Elephas maximus indicus: one gene and its partner. The protein of the gene in region 2 purifies or fractionates together with the protein of the main gene of each other region. This does not show direct contact. Links are inferred from orthologs where the notes say so. Each region holds a gene or a part of one and is shown on either strand. Other genes may lie near its edges.

The links. The genes of interacting proteins can lie anywhere in the genome.
Region 1: the proteins of VDAC1 (region 2) and ATP5F1C fractionate together in Homo sapiens (co-fractionation; 3 studies listed by BioGRID, with this or other methods). This does not show direct contact. The link is inferred for Elephas maximus indicus from reciprocal best matches to the Homo sapiens genes VDAC1 and ATP5F1C.

The regions. Positions count from the first base shown.
Region 1 is NC_064822.1:50,562,005-50,569,006, reverse strand, and holds the start of ATP5F1C (ATP synthase subunit gamma, mitochondrial), read left to right. Parts: upstream 1-3,964; 5' UTR 3,965-4,021; coding exon 4,022-4,077; exon of another isoform or gene 4,078-4,134; intron 4,135-4,848; exon of another isoform or gene 4,849-5,072; intron 5,073-7,002. Other genes in the region: KIN (DNA/RNA-binding protein KIN17), read right to left, coding at 3,631-3,744.
Region 2 is NC_064820.1:146,391,096-146,398,229, forward strand, and holds the start of VDAC1 (voltage-dependent anion-selective channel protein 1), read right to left. Parts: upstream 3,058-7,134; 5' UTR 2,949-3,057; intron 1-2,948. UniProt on the Homo sapiens protein: Non-selective voltage-gated ion channel that mediates the transport of anions and cations through the mitochondrion outer membrane and plasma membrane.

The DNA.
Region 1 (7,002 bases), on a different chromosome or scaffold from region 2:
TCCTCTGCTTCAGCTCATTTTTTCAAAATACATGGTTGCATATTACACAAACCTTGTATTAAACGTATTAAATTTGTACCTTCTTCAGATGATTTTAAGAAAAAAAATGCAAGCTTTTACTTAGTATCTTCTACTTAATATTTGATTTCATTCTTCACTAGTAAGGATTCCTGGGTGGCACGAGTGGTTTGCATTCTACTGGTACAGTGGTAAAGAGCTGGGCTGCTAATCAAAAGGTCGACAGTTTGAATCCACCACTCACTCCTTGGAAACCCCATGGGGCAGGCCTACTCTGTCCTATAGGGTTGCTATGAGTCGGAATCCACTCGACAGCAATGGGTTTGGTTTTCTGGTTTACTAAAGGCTGGTGGTTCGAACCCACCCAACAGCCCCACAGAAGAAATGCCTGGTGATCGGCTTCCATAAAAATTACAGCCAAGAAAACTCTACGGAACGGTTCTACTCTGTAACACCTGGGTTGCCATGAGTCAGAACTGACTTGACACAATGGGTTTGGTTTTTGTTTTCTTCACTAGTAATATAAATGAAAAATGTGCCTCTCCATCTGTATTCCCTCTCTCAATTAACAGCACTAACATATGCCCAATTCCTCACCCAAGCCAGACATCAGTATGGTCAGAGTAGATTCCTTCTTCTCCACATTAAATTTAGCACTAAATCTATGCTGCCTTCTTAGTAACTCTTATCCAATCCCTCTGTTCAATCCCATAGCCTCTGACCTGATTTCAACATCATATCTTGCTTAGTTTCCAAAGCTTCAGTCACCCAACAATAATTAACACAATTTTTGCCTCGTCTGTGCACTGTGAGAGTCATACTTACTTCTTAAATTTATCTTAAGAGAAAACTTACTATCAGTCTCATAAATAAAAAGCCAGGGTAATACTCCATACATTAAAAAAATTCAATAAAATGAAAACAAAATGCCATTAAATTCTAGAATTAATGTTATTAAACTTTGAAACCCAAGGGAGTTGGGAAGGGAAGGGGAAGAACACCTTGGCTCTACTCTTCCTCCCCCTAAATCTTCCACTACTATGGGATATAGAAGATAGGGGAGGGAGCCTGTCGGGGCCAACTTGCCTTCCCCCAGGTTGTCATCAAGGGTAGAAAATGGCAATGACTAGTTCTAAGGGCATATAGGCCCAAAACCACAACAAGAACCTTACTCTGAAAGTTGGTAACTAAAGGAAGAATTATGCATCTAGCCTGCCTTTTCCATAGGACTGTATTTCGGGATAACATTATAAAGATAACCAAATATCACCTAAAACACAATATAAGTAAATAAATAAAGTTAACCAAATAGCCCTACAACCAAAACCAAACCAAACTCCTTGCTGTTGAGTAGATTCCCTAGTTGATGAGAAACTCATTTCACAAAAGAACATCAGCTAGTAATGAATGTACAAAGAATAATGGAATTAGAAAAATAATTATTCCTAACGAAATAAGTGACTTAGGCATGGATACTAAAAAAAAAAAAAAAAGTACAGCCGTCCAGTCAATTCCGACTCATAGCAACCCTGTAGGACAGAGTAGAAGTGCCCCATAGGGTTTCCAAGGCTGTAAATCCTAAGAGAAGCAGAATACCACATCACTCTCCTGCAGAGTGGCTGGTGGGTTCCAACCGCCAACCTTTTGGTCAGCAGCTGAGTGCTTTAACCACTGTACCACCAGGGCTCCTTAAGGATGCTAAAACACATATGTATATATAGAGTTGACGGCAAACTAGATATATTGGCATGATTCCAAAGTATTACCCCACTAATACTTGCTCTCACAAGGAGGAAACCATTACTTTATAACATTAAAGACTGTCATCTTTACTCTATAATCTTAGCACTATGAGACGTTATGGACTTCTTTATATGATTCATTATGGAATACACAGGATTATCCATGAAATATTCTTCCCCAAAGTGTTTAACTTGAATCTAATCAAGCCTTCAGATTTAAGTTCCAATTTACAGGAACTATAGGAAACCCTGGTGGCATAGTGGTTAAATGCTACGGCTGCTAATGAAAAGGTGGGCAGTTCGAATCTGCTAGGTGCTCCTTGGAAGCTCTATGGGGCAGTTCTACTCTGTCCTACAGAGGAGCTACGAGTCAGAATCGACTCGACTGCAGTGGGTGTGTTTTTTTTTTCTTTCTTTTTCATAGGAAACCCTGGTGGCATAATGGTTAAGAGTTATGGCTGCTAACCAAAAAGTCAGCAGTTCGAATCCACCAGGTGCTCCTTGGAAACCATATGGGGCAGTTCTACTCTGTCCTATAGGGTTGCTATGAGTTGGAACCAACTCGACGGCATTGGCTTTGGTTTTGGGTTTTGGTATGACAATAATAACCAAAATTGATTTGTGGCTTTTGATTGGATACTGTTGTTGTCAGGTGCCATGGAGTCGGTTCCAACTCATAGTGACCCTATGTACAACAGAACAATCGGATATTAGTTTTTTTGGGGAAAAAAACAACTTTAAAAAATATTTGAGAGGCAACTGAGGAAATATAAATATGGAATGTGTATTAGATTATATAAAGGAATTTCTATTAATTTTGTTCTGTACGATGACATATGGTGGTTACGTAGAAAAAATTCCTGCTATTTTAGAGATGTATAGTTAAGTATTTGGAGCCCTGGTGGTGCACTGGTTAAGAGCTATGGCTGCTATCCAAGAAGTCGGCAGTTGAAATCCACCAGTTGCTCCTGGAAACCCTAGGGGCAGTTCTACTCTGTCCTATAGGGTCGCTATGAGTCAGAATCGACGTGATGGCAACAGGCCTGGGGTATACTTAAGTATTTAGAGGTGAAATATCCTGATATTTGTAACTTATATACTTTAAAACATTACAGAGATAAGGAAATATATTTAAAATGTTAAATCTGAGTAATGGATATATGGATACTCATTATACTAGTTTCTGTTTTCTGTGACAATTTAATCTTGATTTAAATAGTTAGAACTAAAGAGAAACAAAAGTGAATAGAATAGAAAACGGGCAAAGAGAATTTAAGTAACTTGCCCAAGATCACGCAGCTAGTAAGGGGCGCAGCTAGACAGTTTGACTCTTAACCACAATATTATCCTGGGCTTGGTACACTGTAGGTGCTCAATAAACGCTTGTTAAATAAGTAGCATGGAAGAGTTTAGTGTTCCTTTTTCACCTAATCACGAAAAGAGGTGTGAATCCCAAATACTCTGTTTCTCTTAAGAGCCATGTCAAGTCAGAATTGTTATCGCCAGAACGTCTGGCACTGCACTATTCACACTCTGGTTTTAAGACAGCTTGAGTAAGATCGCTTCCTCGAGAACTGCAAAACCTTTTCCTATTTCTTTTTGGAGTGGATTGGGGAGGAATAAGGTGTCAAAGACCACTGGTTTCCTGGTGGGACTGGGGGCTGAAAGAAAGGATGGCTCTACTAAGTACCTGACTCGCCCTATGCAGACTCCAGAAACACCGTCTTCCGGAGCTGCCTGACTGGGTATCTGAAATCCATCCCCTTAACGCCCAGAGTCCGGGACTTGAACCCAGTTTTCCAGAGAAGCCCTCCTTGTGCGAAGACAGGGCGTGGGCACTGGGAAGATGGAGCCATCCGGGCCCTCTTACCTCATCCCGGCACTGTTTCTGGCACATCTGACAATACCAGCGAAGCTTCTGAAGCCCCTTGGATTTGATCCTGTTGGAGATGGCCTTGGGGGTAAGAAAATCCGACTTCCCCATCGCGACGACACACACAGTAACTTTTAAGCCCAGAGCCTAACCAACCGGAAGCGGAACGGACTGGCGGAAGTGGGCGGGAGAAACAGTGAAGGTAGCTGAGCGACGGAAGGAGGTGGGCGCTTAAAAGGCTGGCTACCAAAGCTCGCGAGTTTTCCCTCCGTCTGGCGGGAGGAAGCGAGACTGAAGGAGAAAGGGAGATTGGGGGCGGCCACTTGGGAAGCTTCCGCGCACGCGTAGTGAGTCTGTTTGACCGACCTTCAGTAAAGCCGGTACCGCCATGTTCTCTCGGGCTACCCTCGTTGGGGTCTCGGCCTGGGCTTTGCAGCCGCAATGGTATGACAGCTTGCGGTAGGAACGGGAGAATTAGGATGGATGGAAGAGCTCGGTCAGGTGGGAAGAAGGCATTGGAGGCGTGTAGGACGGGCCAGGGGGCTCAGGTCTGGACTAGGCCTCCTTTTTGCTGCAGAGGCCCGGCGAAACTGGGGCTGCAGGAAGCGCTTTAGAACGGGGAAGGGCGCGCGGAGAGGCTGGACACGGCGAGTCAGTGCAAGGTCACGCCAAGTCTCCTGAGGCTTGTCGGGGCGGGGTGACGGGCAAAAGGAGTGGTAATCTTGGATCTCGGGATGGAGACTTTAGTCTAAAGTAATTTCAGGACGTTCTTGAATTCATTCATCTAAGAAATGATTATTGAGTGCTACTACTTGCCAGGCAACTAGTATCGTAGAGTCCTTAGCAAAGCTCACAAGGTAGAGGTAGGGCATAACTGAGAAAAAGCCTAGGGGCAGTTGTGCTTTATGTCCTTGACGCCTTTTGAAACCTCCCAGTGCTGGGCAGAGTTTGAAGTGCGCCAGTGCAGAGCAACAAAACCAAACCAACCCTGTTGCCCTCGAGTCGATTCCGACTCATAACGACCCTGTAGGACAGGGTAGAATTCCCCCATAGGGCTTCCAAGGAGCGGCTGGTGGATTCGTAGTGCTAACCTTTTGTTTAGCAGCCGAGCTCTTAACCGCTCTGCGACCAGTGCTCCAATACAGAGCACAGTAAACCTCTTAAGTTCCATTCAGCCAGAATATTTATTAAGCGCCTACTGTTTGTATTTACTAGACGTTCTGATGGGCACTGAAGAAACGAAGGTGAATTGAAAAAATGCAGTCATGGGCTGATGGTAGTTTTGATGCAGAAGGGACCTTAAAGATCTGTCTGTGCAAGGAGAAGGGAAGGACACCTCGTACTATCATGAAACCATTATGCTGCAGTAGTGACCCTGCAAGGTCATGAAATTGCCCCAAAGAGCAGGAGATAGATGCCATCTGTTAACTGCCATGCAGGTAAAGGGTGCAACAAGTTTGAAGGATTTTAAAGATTGGTTTGAGGAATTTCTGACATAGTACTAAAGGAATTATTACCTATAGGCGTGTCATAGCAATTCCTTGGTTTTATAGTATGGGAGATTTGTAAGGAACTAAATTAGGTTTTCGTGAAAGCATTAATTGAAATAGATACATTTTTCATTAAGCAAAGAATTCATAACAATATATAAGACTTTCAGAGGAATGAGGTAATTAAATCTAAAGTGAAATAGCTACATAAAATTTTTGGTGGACTTCCATTGGAAGTCAAATTTTTTTTTTCTAAACTTGAAACAGAATTATGGGAATCAAGTCACTGTAGCTGAGTTCTTAGGTGTTTAGGTTGTCCTGTTTGTTAGTCACTCAGCAGACAGTTGTTGAGTGCCTGGTCTGCATCAAGTTGCACTGTGATAAGCCCTAAAATGTGATGATGAACAAATAGCCATAGTCTCACTGAGTTTCGTGGTACTTGAGAGCATAATTTCTGGCACACAGTGGTGCTCAACAGACGTCAACTGTCCTCTCATTTTGCTGTGCACCAATGTTATCTGTCACAGTACTTTTAGAACTTTCAGTAGCACCCAAGTTGATCTTTAAAAAGCGGAAAGTTTTCGCAGCCAGCACAAAATATTTTACATCAAATTTTAGAAATAAAAAAATGAACACCTCTAAAACAATTTGAAGTTCTTTTAATAAAAGATTGTTTTAAATGAGAGTGCTAATCTGAGACAACTACTACTAGGGGCCTAAGTTGGAACCTCAGTCAGCAAATAAAAGTCATAGTCTTGACCTTAATCCCTTTAGAACGTCAGTTTTAAATTGGAACGTTGGTGCTCCGGTATGCTAAGCATAGCCTTTCCACTTCCTTTCTGGGTTGATATCTGGTTGCTCTGTCCTGTGTTCTAGTCTTGGGTTGTCCTCTTCCTTGTCACGTAATTCCATCATTCTTGGTGCCTAATGTGTTTCCTGCCTCTTCCACCGTTTCTCTGCCTGTTAATATTTTTTAAACTCGGAAATTAAAACCATCTTAATGTTTCACACTCCACAGAACTAAGTTGGCGAGGGGTATAAAAACCTTTGCCTTTACAGATCCCTGAGAAGGCATTTCCTCAGTTTTGTTTAGATTACTGAACATTTTTTTCCTTTTTTAATTTTTACTGTCTTTAAGTGAAACTTTACAAATCAAGTCAGTCTCATATAAAAATTTATATACACCTTGCTATGTACTCTGGTTGCTATCCCCCTAATGAGACAGCACACTCTTTCTCTCCAGCCCCTATTTCTGTGTCCATTCAGCCAGCTTCTGTCCCCCCTGCCTTCTCATCTCCCCTCCAGACAGGAGCTGCCCACATAGCCTCATGTGTCTACTTGATCCAAGAAGCTCAGTCCTCACCAGTATCATTTTCTGTCCTATAGTCTAGTCCAGTTCCTCTCTGAAGAGTTGGCTTTGGGAATGGTTCCTGTCTTTGGCTAACAGAAGGTCTGGGGACCATGACCTCCTGGGTCCTTCTAGTCTCAGTCAGACCATTAAGTCTGGGCTTTTTACAAGAATTCGAGGTCTGCATCCCACTGCTCTCCTGCTCCTTCAGAGTTTCTCTGTTGTGTTCCCTGTCAGGGCAGACATCAGTTGTAGCCGGGCATTATCTAGTTCTTCTGGTCTCAGGCTGATGGAATCTCTGGTTTATATGGCCCTTTCTGTCTCTTGGGCTCGTAATTACCTTGTGTCTTTGGCGTTCTTCATTCTTCTTTGCTCCAGGTGGGTTGAAAACAATTGATGCGTCTTAGATGGCCGCTTGCTAGCGTTTAAAGCCCCAGACACCACTCTCCCAAGTAGGATGCAGAATGTTTTCTTAATAGATTTTATTATGCCAGTTGACCTAGATGGCCCCTGAAACCATGGTCCCCAAAC
Region 2 (7,134 bases):
CCCTCTCTCCCAAGGCTTGCAGGGCAGTGGATTCAATGTCACCGAACACATGCCAAGCCCCCAGGACGGTGCTGATCAGGCCCTTAATAAAGAATTGCTAAGATGATGATGATCACACATTTATACTGGGAAAGTGAGGCACCAGAAAGTGGCTTGACTTGTATTAGACCCTACAGCTCATGTCACCTGTGTTCTGAGCCCAGACTGCTTTCCAGGTCTCTTCCCAGCCCTATTCTAGGTAAAGGGCTTAGAATCCTATTCATCCCTACACACACCCCCCCTGACTGTGCCAGGCTCAGTATCTCACTGGTCACCTTTCCTTGGCAGCTACCACAGGAATCTCTGGGGAACCAAAGGCCATGGACCATAGACCCTGTGGGCACCCAGAAGGACTGTCGGAGGTTGGGCTATGGAAGGCTCTCAGCATAGATATTCCCCTCCCAGTCACTATCAACAAAGACTTTGTTGTTGTTGGTTGCCGTCAAGCCGATTCTGACGCATTATACCATGGGATATTCCATCAAGGGTAAAGTGGACTTCAGTGCCTCTGCAGCACTGAATGAGCGGTTAGCGCCTTCATCGCCACCAGCCTGGAGCTCCTCATCCACATCTGCCCAGTGTCCAGCAGACCAAAGGCCCACGGGCACCTCCTCACCATATGGTCCCCAAGTCCTGAGCTCCAGGTTTCTGATCTGTAAAATATGTCTATAAATGGCTCCCCACCCTAACTCCCATTCTAGAACTGCAGAGATAAAACTAAATAATCAACTGAGAACAGCTCCCTCTCCCAGTGGGGTCAGGCATAGGCTTCACCCAGGGCACCTCCAGCAGAAGCCATCAACCCACCCACTCACGCACCACTACAGAGGGAGGGATGCCAGTTCAAGGCCTTTCAGAGAATCCCAATTCACCCATGTCACCCTCCTCTCAAGCCCAGAAACACCAGTTCAACAAGTTTCTGGACTTGGACAGTCACAGAATGAAGATAATGCACTTCAAGCAGTTATTTCAAAATAGGAAATACAGTAAAACCTGCGAAAGCTGGAACTTGTGTAAGGCAGAAACCTATCAAAAAAGAAAAATGCAAATATTTTCCACTAAAATGAGCAATAGAAAGGTGTTAAGCCTATACCCTGTCAAAGGCAGAAAACTTGTGAGACCTGGAAAAACATGGCAGTTCTGGCTCTCACAGGTTTCACTGTGATTTTTGCCTCTCACGGCTCCAAGGCTGTATGTACATACCATTGTAGATCTTTAAATCTTTGAGACTCTGCTAAGTGAGGCCATTTTCTGGAAGTGAGTGAGATGTGTGTCGCCCAAAAAACGATGTCCAAGATCCGGGACTATGGTCTGGGCCTGCAGTCACTACCTATGCCCATTCAATCATTCCACACCTGAGCACCTACTATGTGCCAGATGCCTGAATAATAAAACTAACCTTTTGTCAATAACAGTGAGTCAACTCTTAGAAAAAAAAGCAATAGTGCACTTACCCCCACAGATCCTTCTCAAGCACCTACTGTCTGCCAGGTGCCACTGCAGGCCCTAAGAACAAGGCTGCACCAGGTCGAAGCCTGACCCCCCCAGGAGCTCAGTCAGACCAGAGCTGGAGTGGAGAGAAAGAAGGCAGGCCCTGGGGAGTCAGCCCTGGCCTAGGAAAGAGCAGAAATCTTGGCAAAGGAAGAGCCCATTTCCCTATCCTCTCTGGAGAGGGGAGGCTGGTCAAGAAGATGGGGCCATGGGGTGCAGCCGGGTCTCCCCCTGCATTCAAACTTCCTGCCCCAGCCTGACTTTATCAGTCTGTAAACTTACAAGATTTTTTGTGAATTATCCTTAAAGTTACTCAATGCTTTGCACACAAACGGTTATTAATAATACCTCCATAATGTTTAAAATAACAGGGACTACATTTTCTGAGCCCTTTGGAGAACACCACGTGGAGGAAAGCGCTCTGAGGAGGATGGACTTGATCTTCCCCAAAAGTCTGAAGCTGGTTAAGTTTCATGGTTTTTACCGAGGCCTTCTTGGAGTCTGGCAAGGTTCTGAAGGTTTTACAACTTAATCATCTCACTTTATTCTTCCCAAAATCCCCAAGAAGGAGAGGTATAGCTGCTCCCATTTTACAGATAAGAAGACTTAGGCTTGGTTTCTTCCCAGTTGTGTGACCTTGCACAACTCACTTATGCTGCGGGCCTCAAACCCAAAGTCGAGCTCCTAGTTCCCTGCATGCACACAGCCGTGTTCGGTGAATGAATGAGTGACCGAACCAGAAATCCCTTCTAAGGCCTCAGGGGCCACAACGATCCCCGCACAGCCTCCTCTTCTGAGGCCTAAACCCGAGTCCAGCCCCTGAGGCCTAAATCGACTCTCCGGCACCCGTTCCGCCCGGGGAGGCGCTGGCCCGCGCGTACTGCCGGGTGGCAGCTCCTTCGGGCGTGGACTGGGCAGAGCGTGCGGGGCGCGGGGCCGCAGTCACCACCTGCGGCTCATCCCTGCGGCGGCAGTGTGGCCCGCACAGGGCCGCGGGTCTGGCCCGGGCAGCGTGGGCGGCGGCGGGCGTGCCCCAGCCCGAGCAGGGCTGTCAGAATCGTGGGCCAGAGGGCGTCAAGGAAGGTCACCTAGACCCGCTGCTGGCCGGGGCTCCACGCGGCTGCCCGTGCCCTTCCGCCCGCATGTCCGGGCGGCTTTCGTTCCTAGCCGCAGGCGCCTCTGGATCCCCGGCCTCCCGCTCCCCGCCCGGGCCCACTCGGCACCCGCCCGTGCGGCCTGCTCCGTCCGCGGCTGACCCGCCAGGCCCGAGCGGACCGCTCCCTCTCCCTCCCTCAGGCCGGGCTCGGGGGCCCCTCGCCCTCGCCCGCTCCTCCTCCCACGTCCTCCCTCTCAGCTACCCAGGGGCCCGGTCGGCGGCATGGGGCGCAGGCAGAGACTGCCCTTCCCACTGCGCCTACCTCAGAGGCGGCAGCAGCGGGTTCAGTGGTGACTACGGCGGGGGCTGCGGCGCAGACGAACCCAGCGAGCGGCGGACCGGGGGCGGAGGCAGCGCGGACGGCGGCGGCGCGGACCCGCCCCCGCCCTGCGCTCCCAGTCGGGCGAGCTCCGCCCAGGGCCCGCCCCGGACACCGCCCAGGGCCCTGCTCCGGGCCACTCCGGTTCGCACCAGGCGCGCTGACCCTTCTAGGCTCTTAAGCGCCCTGAGCGGCCGAGTGTGCTCGCGGTCGTGTGCGTGTGTGTGTGAGGGGGAGTGCCTGCGTGCGCACGAGCACGGGGCGACAGCGAGGGGTGGGACTGACGTGCGCACGGATCTGTGCCTGCGCAGGGACACGCCTGGCGGCCCCGCAAGGGCTAGTCATTGCTGGAACCTCCGTCAGGGTAGAAGCGTTCGGGGAGGGGGGTCTGGTTAGCTGAACGGTGCCGAGGGGACCCCGCGCTAATACAAGATTCTCAGGCTACTGGGCCTCCCTCTCGGCCTCGGGGCTGGGAGACCACCGGGAGTTGATGTAGCGGATGGTGCTGAAACAGGGCCTAGCCTGGGTGGGCGAGGTGGCTCTCAGGCCACGGGGTATTACAGCCGGCTGCGAGCCCCTGGAGACAGTTGTAGGCGGGGCTGGGGAACTGGGAACCGGAGGTGGCGTGGATACAGAGTAGCGGCCCGGACTGTTGCTCCTCTGCGCTGCTGACACAATGCTTCCGGCGTCTGGGTCCCGCTTGCACAAGGCGCGGGATTGGCAGAGCCTTGCGCTAGTAGGAACGATCACGGAGAAAACTCCCCTCTGCGCCGAATTTGCACTGCAAATTAGCACTTTTCCGCTATAGCAAAGCTGCTCGCAAGCCTTTTCCGAGAAGTAAAAAACGTTGCGTTTTGCAAGAACGTCCCCAGCTGGGTATCACCACGCGCCGAAGTAAACGGTGATTCCGGCCTGCCAGTCGAGCGCATCGCGGGCAGCCCGCTTACAGCCCCGGGCCTGGCCCTGCACCGCGGCTCTCGGTTCATGTGTGTGGTGGGGCCATCGCTGTCCTCGCTAAGCTGTGAACGCGTGATGACTCAAGCTGCTCATCTAGTTCACCACCGAGTGTCCCCGGCGTCCTGCGGGAGGCCTACCGGGAGCAGGCTTCGAGAATTAACGGATTCACGCTGAATGCAGAGTCTGCGGGCCATGCGCTTAGGCCAACAAACGTCCCCGAAGGCGGAAGGTGTTGGGCTACAGAGCCAGCTGCGGAACAAGCGAAAGGAGTAGGCAACTGGAGCAGGCAGCAGATTAAATGGAAAAGTGGCAACTGGCAACTCGGGTTAGAAGTGGCAGGGTGTTGAGGAAGAAGAGAACTCATAAAGGGCAGCCCAGAGAATGTAGACAGGGCTCACACGAAGGCAGCAGTTCACTCTCTGAGAGGAGAGGGGAGGGCGGAGAAAGACACTGAGTCACCTACCCCGTGCAGTGAGGCAGAGTTTGGGAGGAAAGGGCCTCAGAGAGGCAGGGCAAAACCAGGTGGCTTCGCGCACACGGGCTAGGAGCGGATGCTCTACTGTTGGAATCTCAACTTTACTAGAATTGTGACTCATTGACTCCTCCCCACCACAGCCCGAAGGAGGGAGGAGGTGAAGGCAGTCTTTTACACCAGGTAATAACCTCCATCCCCTTCAGCCCCTCCCCCACAACTGATGGAGCTGAGGGTAGGCATCTGACCCAAACCCAGCCAATCAGTTCCTCTCTTGCAAATTTAACTAAAAAACCCAGAGCCTTGTGGGACTCTCTAGTCATTTGGCCTAATTATGTTTTTAGAGTTGCTGTTCTACTCCCTAGTTCAGTGAGTACTGCAGCCATCCAAGATACAACAATTGGTCTGTATCTGCCAGGAGCAGCAAAGGAAAGAGACCCAGGAATCAGAGAAGGAGCTGGATTGCAGATCTAACTGCCTCCATGAACTACTGCCCCTTAGCCATGAGATCAGAACTGGATAGTGCTTGGCTACCATTACTGAATGTTTTGATCATGGAATCAATAGATGAATCCTGATCAAAAGGGGGAAAATGTGGAACAGAATTTTAAATTCTTACAGAATCCAGACTTACTGGACCTATTGAGACTGGAACAACCCCCAAATCTATCACTCTAAGAAAATCTTCAAACCATGAACTGAAATTGTCCCCTGAAGACATCTTTACATAGCTAAATTAGTAAAGAATGTTCTACATGAGCATTGTGCTCTTTTAAAGAATTATGTATATGAGATCAAATCGTCAACAGTGGCTCTAAAGCAAAGATGAGAAGTTTATGCAATAGAGTCTAAAGTTAGTGGTGGTGAAACAGTACGGGTAGAGATAACAAGAATGGTGACGCAATGTGAAGAATATAACCAATGTTATTGAACTGTACATGTAGAAACTGATGGATGTCCTGCTGTGTATATTTTCACCAAAACAAAAACAAAAAACCCAGAGCCTAAGTGAGACAGAGGGTCTTGGAGCCCTTGGGTCTCTCAGGTAGACCTGGGTCTGATGGTCATGTTGAGTCTTGAGAAGTTAAAGAGACCATTGTACAGAGCACCTGGGCAGGGCGGCTGCAGGCCCCTGTTTCATGAGCTGCTATTACTCTTCCTGCGCTTGGGTTTCCTTGGGCCATTTAAATAACCACCCCCCTTGAGCTTGATCCAGCAAGAGTGGGCCCCTGAGGAAGACCCTGGATTCCTGGTGAGTGGGAAAAGGGGATTTGTGGGAATAGAACAGTCTCGACAGCAGTTTTTCTTTAGGAGAATGATCTCTCTTCCCCTCCTTTCAGTTGATTTGCTTTTTTGGAGCTGACTCCATCTCTGGACCATCCCTTTGGACCAAGAAACCAACTGAGACTTTTCCTGGAGCTGTTGAGAGAGACTGAGACTTCCCCTAAGAATGAAGCCAGCCCATAAAAGAGAGACAGAGACCAGGTCCTAGGGACATCATGCTCCTGGATCTAGCTATGCCTGAGGCTACCTCCTGTGATTCCCAGCTCTCTGAGCCAATAAAGTCCCTTTTTGCTTAGTCCAGTTTGGACTGGGTTTTCTTCCAGGTCCTAACTCAGTACTTCCCTTTCCTTCAAGCAGAACATACAGGGAAACCCTGATTGTGTAGTGGTTAAGTGCTACAGCTGCTAACCTAAAAGTTGGCCGTTCGAATCCACCAGATGCTCCTTGGAAACTCTATGGGGCAGTTCTACTCTGTCCTATAGGGTCGCTATGAGTCGGAATCGACTCGATGGCAATGGGTTACAGGTAGAATGTATAGTATCCAGGACAGATTAGGTTTTTCTTTTTAATATTGGAATAGTGGTTAAGCACTCAGCTACTAACCAAAAAGTCAACAGTTCAAACCCACCAGCCACTATGTGGGAGAATGACGTGGCAGTCTGCTTCTGTAAAGATTACGGCCTCGGAAACCCTATGGGGCAGTTCTACTCTGTCCTATAGGGTTGCTATAAGTTGGAATCGACTTGATGGCAATGGTCTTTTTTTTTAACAAGTGTAAGAATATTTTATTTTAGGGAACTTCTTTCTTATATCTAACTTACAGCCATAGGGCTTCTACTTAAGATATTTACCAGCATGGAAAGCAGTCACTCACCCTTCTAAAAACCTATATTGAAACACTTTTCTTTTCAAGGCCAGATGTCCCTGTACCTCAAAGTGACTTATTAGCATTGCTTTTGCCAAATACTTGAAGATGAAGTCCATGAAGGTAGAAATGGAAGATACAACTTATACAAATTATTTTAAAGGGAAAAAGTATTCTACTTTTAACCAGCATCAATTACCTTGATTACAAAACTGAATTATCATAAAATCTAACCTTTTCTAACCATTTCCCAATGAACTCATCAGATTTGAGTCTGGGTAGGAGGAATTAGGATTGAGAATTGGTGGTCAAGTGTCTCAGGTCACACTCACATCACTGTACCCTGACCCTCATCATCCAGGCGAGGACACACGCAGGCCTCCTCTCCAGTGATATGGAGAAGAATAATCAATTGAGAAAGGAGCCCTGGTGGCACAGTGATTAAGCAGTTGGCTGCTAACCAAAAGGCTGGATGTTTAAACCCACCAGCTGCTATGTGGGAGAAAGATGTGGCAGTCTGCTTCTATAAAGATTACAGATTTGGAAACCCT